Linked DNA regions of Mus musculus: region 2 is reported to be linked to region 1. The links are microRNA targets in miRTarBase. Many come from high-throughput screens and were not tested one by one. Region 1 holds a microRNA gene; the other region holds the end of a gene's coding sequence.

Region 1 (5,176 bases):
AGGTGACAATCTCACACACAAACACTTCCTGCTGCTGTCGTGCACGGGCACGAGCACGAGCGCGGGTGCGTGCACGAGCACGAGTACGTGCATTAGCACGGCTATTGGTTGGAAGCTGAAATAGAGAAAAAGAAAGAGAAATGGTAAAGGGAATATGAGTCAAGGGGAAATCTGGCCCAGAATTTCCTAGAAACTACATTTTCCACACCAGTTCTAGGTCCTCTGGGATTCCCACCATCACACCAGGTTTATTTCCTCTATAACCCCAGGGAACCTCTTATCACTTGGAAAGTTAGCCACCCACATGCCATAACCCTCGTATCTTCAGTCTACAGTTTTGCTTCCCATACCAACACCTGGTACTTACTTGGTAGACCTTTAGAGAAGCCTGTCGTTTAATATTATTGTAGGTCAGGAAGTTGAGCACAGCAAACTCTAGCAGAGTGCAGAAGCACAAGACGAAACAAATTGCAATATAGAAGTCCAAAGCCGTGAGATAGGAGACACGAGGGAAATTCTTACAGGACAAGGTACCCAGCGTGGCCATGGTGAGCACAGAACTGACCCCTATAAGAACAAAGAGTGAAGATGGGCTAAGCTTCTGACAGGACAACAGGAGAAGGCAAATACTTCCCTTGGTCAACGTTAATTTATGACATATGCCCATGTTTAATTAAGATCGCCATACTTTCTTACCTACAGAGGCCCTGGCAGCAGCAGCTTCTATCTTGATCCAGAAGGAGACCCAGGAGAGCATTGTGGTGACAGAAGAAGGAACATAATTTTGAAAGACAATGAAGCCAAACCGCCTGCTTACATTGAAGAAGAATGTCATGACCATGAAGTCACCTGAAAGACATCAAATATACCTCTGCATTGCAGTACTGGCCTGATGTCCAGAATGGCACATATATCATGGATCCCACTGTCCAGCTCGTGGGAAACCCTTCCAGAGTTCTAGAATAAAGGCACACTATTTCAGTGTAGCTCAGTAGAAGCTCAGAGAGGAGATTTACTGTAATACCCATGGCCAGTTGAGAGATAAGCCAGTACAAGAGTATTAATAAACCCACTTTCAGTTAACTGATTCACTCTCCCAAAATCTGTTTATCCCAGAGTAGTAGTAGTGAGAGGAAAGTTAAAAACAAAAACAAACAAATAAAAACCAACCCCATAACCTTTGCTTTCATGGTACCCTGACTTAATAGCTGATGGCTAGCTGAGACCTTCCAACCTATAGAAATGCAATGTATAGTTTGTGATATTACAGTATTATCTGCACTGCTAGCCCTCACAGCATGCCTACTTGGTTTAGCCAAATATGACATATTCTGCTATATATGAGCTACACAATAAAGTCTATACTATGCATTCTGATTCTAAGACCTAACTAGATTTGACTCATCTATATGCATACACACATGAATGCCTTACCCAAAACTAACTGAACTGCTTCCCAGTTTAGATAGCACATATATTTATCCTGGTAAGTAAATCCTCGACTGTTCTTAATCTATTACTCCTTAACATAAATTCAGTGTTGTAGGAAAACAGAAGAATAGATGAATATGATCTTTTCAGTAAAGCTTTAGATGTTACATCTGCAGAATATTCAGTCAGAAGGCAGTGTAGGCCGTCACATTCACTTGGGCATAATGATCTTCTCTTGAACTTACTCTAGATAGGAATGGATCTTCCAGAAGTTGGTCAAACTTGTATTTCCAGTTGCATATTCTGTTCCTAATGCTGCTCCTGATGCTCTTCATAATATTATGACTCCATGCTTAGTTTGCCCAGAGGAACACTTTTTCTCTCCATATGTCATTAGATATTAAATTGTCTTAACTACGGATTTTTCTGTGAAGCTAAGCCCTCAATTTCCAGTTCTGTGAAAAAACAGCCACCTGTGACTTTGAATTAGGTGGACCTTCAAGCTCCTTTCAGGAAGGGCTCATATAAAGCCTTCAGCTTAGCCCCTAACCAACCAAGCAATAGTGCTCAGTGACTTTTGAAACCCATGGTTAAAATAACCTTGGAAATCAGGCACAAACCCTGTGTACACTGTAGACTGTACAAAAAACAGCCCACCTGCCTGACCAGTCTGAGTGGGCAAGTACAGACTGAGAGCAACCCTTCCTCCTAGTGTTGGAAGACTTGACCTTGGAGGAACAAAGCTTCTTGGGTTCTTCAGAGAAAGGCAAGTAAATGGCTATGGTCAGTGGGAAAGTTCCTGCCTGAATAGTAGGATCTTTAACACTAGAATTCCTCTAGCACTGAACCAGGGACCATTTTATACTACTTGCCAGAATGACCAAATTATTAGTCCATCTGTCCTGGAGTCTTGACTGTGATTAAAAATTTTCTTAATATGTTTGTCACAAGATGTATAGTGCTGTTTTATTTCTCATCCTTTAAATTTATTCATTCTGATTAAAGAAGAAACTTTCTTATTTATTAAAAGCTAGAAATTTGACAAGAAAAGGATACTAACATGTATTTCCTTCATTCTAATGAGTGAAGAAACAATACCAATGGAAGAGACATATCTAGGACTGAAAGCCAAACCAAAACAAAATTGATTAAAGATGACTTTAGCTCTTACCTCTTTTTCCAGATCATAGTTGGGGGCTGCACTGCTAAAGACACAATTAAAAGACTGTCCAGAGGACTAGTGAACTGAAGGCAGTGAAGAACAAGAGAAGAAAAGGAACTGGGGAGAAGAGTCCCAATAGAATACAAGTGTGTGCTCCAACCCAAGAGCTTTACATTTGATTTTGGAAGAGTACCTTCAGTTAATGTAAGCCAGGTAGTTATAAGAGAAAAGAACTAGATCTGATGGGGAAATATTCCAGAAACTCCCATTTTAGATGAGAAAGAAGAATTTCCTAATGGGGGGAACTGTCTAGGGAAGAAAATAATCTTACAAGAAGACACTGACCTCTTGATCGTGGCAAGATTTCCTTAGAGGCTCAACAGCTATCAGTGAAGGATGATTAATTTACTACAGACAAGGCTGCACTTTCTGAAAAGCTCCTGAAGCAGAAACTCTGCTTTAAGGTCCAAGGTGGGCTAAGTTTCAGGGCACCACTGCATTCAAAACCCTGAAAATTGAGTACATGTATGTTCCAGCTAGGAAGAACTGCCCTGGTGTCAAACTGGGAGAGTTGGGACCTGACTCAAAAATAACTGACAGTGGAGACACTATGAATTCAGAATAAGTAGTTTCTAGTCAAAGGAAAAGACCTACTTCTTTCTCCACAGGAAGAGATGTTGCTTACCTACTGCCATTGCTTCACCGATGATGCTGGCTCTGGGGCTTTGTAGTCACTAGGGCACCATTTTGAAACAATGCACAAACCATCTACTAAACGGAACCACTAGTGACTTAAAAGCCCCCGGGCCTTGTCTCTTCTGCCAGTTCTGATGATGGGGCTCCACCTATCTGGACAAACTGAAGTACTAAGAGGCAGGCCCATAGTTGTCTAGTAGAAGAGCAAGAATTCCAAGCCAAAGCAAGCAAAGTGGCTTTCTCAGAGCCCCAGGAAAAGGAAAAGCAGCACCCATTCCCTGCCTAGTACTACGTAAGCAAAGCTTTAGTCAGATGAGCATAAGCTGTCCCTCACCCAGTGACCATCAGTAGCAATAGCAGGTTTTTTTTTTTTTTTATGTCATCATCACACAGACACAAAGCAAAATAAATGACAAAAGGCTGGCTGGGTGACCTGCTCCATCCACATTCTTGTCAGTACATGTGAAGAAGGTCCAGGGTTGCTCTCAGAGCTACCCTGGGAAGACTCCTTGGCTCCTCATTCAGATCACCTAGGAATATAAGCAAAGATGCTCACATCTGTTCAGGAGTTACAAGTTAAGAGACCCAGAATCTGCCCCTATTGTCCTTGTCAGGAACAAGATCAGAAAATTTTCAAAGATTATGTTGATTCCACTATGAAGCCTTTGGTGAAAATACATGCTTTTCAGAGTTGCTCCTTTAAGATAATGCTACTGTACCAGCCACTGCAGCTGAGTAATTACCTGCAGACTCTCCAACCCCCACTAGTTACCATTATGACTCCAGCTTCTTGTGTAAGAATCCAGTAACCTCTTTGTACCTTGCTGGTGTGTCACCCAACTTCCCTATTTTCTTCTGTATAAAAAGTTTGATGCTCAATTTGACAAATACATTCAGATCCAGCACACTCTCTCATGTCTGTGTCTGTCAATTCCCGCTGACTCTATGCCCATCTGTCCAAACCTCTGATTCCCACAGGTTGAGGGGGGCTGATTAGGCCCAGTCAGTGGCACACTTCTACCTCTTGCTTCTCACTCAACCAGCTTGACTTGATTCAGGGTTTGGAGAAATCACCCGAGTACCTGTCTCCAATGTTGTCTAAGTAAGTTAGTGATATAACAAAGACACTGAATACAAAGGATCTAAAACCCAGAGTTAGATGAACATTCTGAAGGTTACAAAAATATATATACTCACCCCATTCTTCAAGGGGCTTGGCAAAGCACTTACCTCTTTGCAGATGAGACTGAGACATAGTTATAAAGTCTCAGTTTCCTCTGCAAACAGTTGTAACTGCTTAGCATATATAAGAGAGGAGTGATGCCCTCAACAGTGTTTCCATGCCCTCTTTACACAGCATTTGGACAAATAGCCAATTCCAGTTACTGGTGCTCCTCCCTCAGACTCTGCCCAGCTCTAGCTCCCACTGACCACCTACCAAATGGGGTAGAGATGATTTCAGTTTTGTTGTTCACGCCTGTAAAATCAAATTCCAATAGCTTCCAAGTGTTCTTCGCATTGATTTCGAGCTTGAAATTCTCCCATTTGTAGATCATTTCACTGTCATCATAGGAAACTGGAAATCAAAGTGGGAAAGAGTGAATGAGACTGGGAAGCCAAGTTGAGGGCCCCACAAGCATGGTGTTAGCCTGAGCCATGTTTTGGACTTTTGACTTTGGCTTCACCAGCTTTGAGACCCTGCCTCTGACCTAGTTGTCAAAATGCATTCAATAAGTACATTTGCCCTGGGCTTCAAATGCAAAGTTGAGTAAGGTGTGAACCAGCATTCACATTTCACTGAGCAAGGCAATATCGAACTCTAAATCTTGGGGTTGCTCTGAATATTTCTACCCATGGAACAACTGGTAAAGTAGGGAAAGATCACTT
Region 2 (5,000 bases), not on the chromosome of region 1:
AGGCTTACTTTTTGGAGGCGTGTACTGTGGACAGTAGTGAAGACAGCCTATACCAGCACTTCCTGCCTATGGGGTGACAGGGCTACGTACTAACCTCAGAGCTGATGAGTTAGGTGTGTGTTGAGTTTTGCTCACTCCTGTGCGTTCATCTCGGAATGCAGGTGATAACAACACTTAGCATTTTTTTATTATTTTTTTTTAATTAGGTATTTTCTTAAATACAGGGGAACACCAGGGCCAAGAAGTGAAAGTGGGTGGGTAGGGGAGTGGGGTGGGGTGGGGTGGGGGAGGGTATGGGGGACTTTTGGGATAGCATTTGAAATGTAAATGAAGTAACTACTTAATAAAATATTGGAAAAAAAGAAATGTAAATGAAGAAAATATCTAATAAAATTTTTTTTAAAAAAAGAAAGAAAAGAGTGCAGTGGGAATGGCAAATGAGTTGCAACTTGTTTTTCTGCACCTTGATGGCTACTTAGAAGCAAGAGTTTCTTGTTAATAGCAGTGCATCTCTCATGTTGTTTCCTCTCAAAGCTATGAAGAAGGGAATTTTGAAAAGGCTGCTGAACTGTACAAAAGGGCAATGGAGATAAAAGAAGCAGAGACATCACTTTTGGGTGGAAAAGCTCCTTCAAGGCAGTCATCAAGTGGAGACACATTTCTCTTTAAAACAACTCATTCCCCTAACGTTTTTCTTCCCCAAGGGCAAAGCTAACCGTCAATTCTTTGCAAGGATACTTCAAGATAAAACAGCTAAACATCTGGAATATTCTCAGTGTTTTTAAAGAAAATCTTTTTTTTCCATCTTAGTGTTATTTAGCTGGCATTTATATGACGTTGTATTGAGTTGCATTGAATTGTCGTGTCAAGTTTAAATTGATTAAAGAACCTGTTTCCTATGGGATAAAATCCAGGATGACGACATCAGCACTCAGTGGCATGAGGAGTGGCTTGGTCTCTGCAACAAGAGCTGGCAGGACCCCATGGTTTAAGAAATCCACAGTTCTTTTCTCTCCCTCAAGAGCAGCCTTAGCTCTGGCCATTCACTGTCTGTTCCTAGCAGGGCTCTGAGCCAGTTCTCTACCTCAAAGAACTTTCAAGGGCTAAAGGGATGTTGATAATATAAATAATATAAAGGGATGTTGATAATGAGTCGGAACAGTCTTCAGTGAAACGAGCTAGATAGGAACTCTGTTTGTTTTCCTTTTTCTGGGTTTGTGTGTGAGGATGTGCGCGCGCGCGCACACACACACACACACACACACACACACGTGTGCATGTACACATGGAGGACAGAGGTCAGCCTTGGGTATCATTCCTCAGGCGCTGTCCACCGTGACTTGTTTTTGTTTTTGGTTTTTGAGACAGGGTCTCAGTGACCTGGTGCCCTTAATTAGTCTGCCTGGCAGTCCACATCCTAGTGACCCACACCCCTGCCTCTCTCTCCTAAGACCGGAGCACAAGCTTCCATCTCTACCCCCAGTTCTCTAAAGTGGGCTCTGGGGGTTGAACTTGGGTCCTTATGCTGACATGGCAGACGCTTCACAAACTGAGCTATCACCCTAGCCTCTTACCACATTGTGAATCTCTGTAGCTCGGGGTGACCATGAACTCTTGATCACTCCCCACTCCCCCGGAGTGTTGGGACCACAGAGGCATGCCTCCACAGCTGGCTTGGCTTTTAGGCCTTCCTCTTCCCTAAGCTGGTTTAGCCAGCCTCCGCTTTCTGTGCTGTCTCCAGGAAGCTTCTCACAGTGCTGCAGCGTCGCCAGTGACAACATGCGTGCCACCACAGGTGCCAGTGACGACATGCGTGCCACCACAGGTGCCAGGCTCTTTACCATTCTCATCTTGCTTACTGTGGGACAGGTCTAAAAAGTCAACTACTCGTGAGCTGAGGCACAGGTTTTCAAGGTCAGTACCAGCTTAGAGTATGGGGTGAGTTCAAGGCCAGCCTGGGCACCTTAGTGAGACCTTGTCACAAAATAGAATAGAGCTGAAGGCACAGCAGTAGAATGCCTCGGACCCTGGGTTTAGTCCTCAGCACACACACACATACAAAAAGCCATGACAAATCCATTTCCTTCGTAAATGGTCAAAATCAGTCTTGCCTTACCTCGCTTAGTTGGTGTTTTTATACTGGAAATTAAATATTTTTATAGATTTGATAAATATTGCCACATTTTAGATATTTGTTTTTATTTGTATATAGTAAAATTTTCAATGATTTAAAATCTTATAAGATCTCAATATGTATTATTGTAAAGATGACAGGCATAAAAAATGTATGTTTTAAAATAAAAGTGTAATTGCAAGTTCTCTCATTTTGCAGTCTGTATTAGAGGGCTATTTTGCATAGTTATTTAAGAATAAACTTTGAACATGTTTCAGCAGACTTGAATTTTGGCCAAGTTTAGTCAATAGTTTGCTCAACTTGAAGAACTGTGGTGACCTCAGGGTGTGCCCAGTGTCACCAACTCCTGGTGGATGCAGAAGCCAGTATCATCACCAGCCAACACTTACTTACAATTTAGACGTAACCTTGAGGTCCCTCCCTGAGCCCGCTCAGAAGCAGCCTGAGAGCTAGGTGGCCAGGTCAGTCCTGCCAAAGCTTTGAGTTTAGGAAGCGTCGCTAAAGTCTACACACTTGTAAGTTAAATTAGACAGGACATGACAAAATGAGCTTTCTTCTTCCACCTTCTGAGGGAGGCTCAGAGGAACTAAAAAGCTAAAATATGACCATAACCTATCTTTGGAGTTTGCCCCCTCTGAAAGGTACAAATAACAGAATTCATAAGCATATTAGACATTGATTTTTACAACTAATATATCAAAGCTTAAAATCTATTTCATGACTAATGTAATACACTAAAAGTATAGTATTAATCACCTTTTTAAAAAAAAAACTTTAAATAATCTGTGACCAGTACTCTAAAAGACTCTTCAAATCAGCATAGTCTTTGTTCTTCTAAAACTTAGATCTGAGAATTATACAAAATATTTTAGAAACTGCAGTGATATCTCATTGACTTTATGGTACAAATGATAACAGAAGTGGTCACTAAATTACATATTTCCTTTTTTTCTAAATTAAACATTCAAATTTAGTACATAATAAGATCATGATTTTACCATTTATTGCACTAACTGTGTTCTTTGCCTCATGAGAATGCTAAGAGCACCTGCACCAGACATTTGTGTGAGGATGTGTGATTCCCAAGCAGTAGGATACGCTCCCATTAACAGATACTTGCTTCACATATATTGGTGTTAGCATAGATGTGATTCTCAGATTGTGTTCATGCTAACATACACCCCCCACACACAGTGAAATGGTAATTTTCAGACACTCCCTAATAAAGAGCTGGCAGGAACCAAACTTTGCTCTAAGTTGTCTTCAGTACTTGACAGAAGGGGAATCATGAAAAGCAGAATTGTCACCTGGGGAGGTCAAGGCTTCTCTGACATAAAGTAGCTGCCTTTTCCTCTGGTTCTACATTTGTGGGTGTCCAGGATGATGAGAAGAAACCCCAAAGATCTGCGCGGAGCCACAGATCACCTTTCTGCTAGCAGTAAGGAGCCAAAGCTGTGACGGGCTTTACTGCCTAGACTCAGACTCTAGAGTCAGTGCTAAGACGGTGAGGGACTCCTTGCCTTTGTTAGGACCCAGTGTGTAGAAATTCAGCTGAACGGCTAGAAGCTCTCTGACAATTCTCATCCACTGCCTGCTGGCCCTCGGGCTCTGTGGCTGCAGGCTACAGGGAGAACTCTATTGGCTCACAGGTGCCTGCTGCCTACTTGGTTTTGTTTGTTTGTTTGCTTGCTTGCTTGCTTGAGATAACCCAGTAGTGAACTACTGGGTAAGAGGGAAAAAAAGAAGAAGAAAAAAGAGAGATACATTAGAATTTGGTACAGAAAGCAGATCTTTAAAGGATGATGGATCCTATGTGTTATGCCTTAACAAAACCTGAAAGTTCAAGACTTGATTAAACCTTAGAAAATTCATGGACCATTAATTCTAAAGAATTATTCTAGAAAAAAATGTACCTCATCTTAAAATTTACAACATGTCTAGTGATTTAAAGTTATTCTCCAATCCAATATGCTTAAGTTCTGTTAAAACATTTGTAAAAATTTATCATGGCAACATAAATGTTAAGTTTCAAAGCTAGAAGCATTCAACTTCATTATAAATATAAAAATCACCTATAGAGGCAGGCTCGTGGACCAGTGACACCCAGAAATTAAAGAGTTTTTTGGGACCTGGGAGGTCACAGACAGCTGTTCAGTGGCTGTCATCATGCCACAAAATGAATATACTGTATTGCACCGCAAACAATATGGATATCGTTCGGACTACCATGAGAAAAAGAGAAAGAAAGAAAGGTTGGGAGGCCCATGAGCATTCAAAGAAGGCAAAGCTTTACCATAAAACAGCGCCATGCCCAAAAAATACAAGTGAAAAAAAACTATTAAGATGCATGAAAAGAGAAACACCAAGCAGAGAGAGGGATGATGGGAAGACTCCACAGGGAGCAGTCCCCGCCTGTCTGCTGGACAGAGAGGGGCAGTCCAGAGCAGAAGTACTTCCCAACAGGATTAAGCAGAAACAAAAAGGAAAGGTGGGAAAATGGAAGGTCCCTCTCCCAAAGTTCGTGCCCAAAGAGAAACAGAAGTATTGAAAGTTATTCAAACAGGAAAAAGGAAAAAGAGGGCATGGAAGAGAACGGTTACTAACGTCTGTTTTGTTGGTGATGGCTTTACAAGAAAACCACCTAAGTATGAAAGATTCATTAGGCCTATGGGTCTACGTTTTTAAAAAGCCCATGTCACGTACCCTGGGCTAAAAGCCACCTTTTGCCTGCCTATACTTGGTGTGAAAAAGAATCCATCATCCCCATTATATACAACCCTGGGTGTGATCACCAGTGAAGTGAATGTGAAGGGTGCACCAATGCGGTCTTGCTGGTTTGACAGTGACGTCACTCATACACGTCATT

Evidence for each region. Region 1 holds the annotated microRNA mmu-miR-224-5p (UAAGUCACUAGUGGUUCCGUU, at 3,368-3,388, opposite strand). A microRNA usually pairs through its seed, bases 2 to 8, with sites in the 3' UTR of a target mRNA and lowers its output. Matches are read on the target gene's strand: a 7mer-m8 pairs with bases 2 to 8, a 7mer-A1 pairs with bases 2 to 7 and ends in A, and an 8mer does both.
Region 2: the mRNA of Nphp3 is a reported target of mmu-miR-224-5p. Seed matches in the 3' UTR shown: 7mer-m8 at 1,336-1,342.

Annotation. Positions count from the first base shown.
Region 1 is chrX:72,257,718-72,262,893 of GRCm38, forward strand. Mir224 (microRNA 224) reads right to left here and starts at 3,395; the gene lies at 3,314-3,395. It overlaps Gabre (gamma-aminobutyric acid (GABA) A receptor, subunit epsilon), which reads right to left. Exons shown (of 9, transcript NM_017369.2): 6 at 4,728-4,865; 7 at 697-849; 8 at 368-567; 9 at 1-115. It overlaps Mir452 (microRNA 452), which reads right to left and starts at 4,591; the gene lies at 4,507-4,591.
Region 2 is chr9:104,041,418-104,046,417 of GRCm38, forward strand. Nphp3 (nephronophthisis 3 (adolescent)) reads left to right here. Exons shown (of 27, transcript NM_028721.3): 27 at 535-2,394. The coding sequence ends at 715. It also overlaps the pseudogene Gm18998. Among named protein-coding and RNA genes, the nearest start is that of Uba5, 19 kb to the right of the region's middle.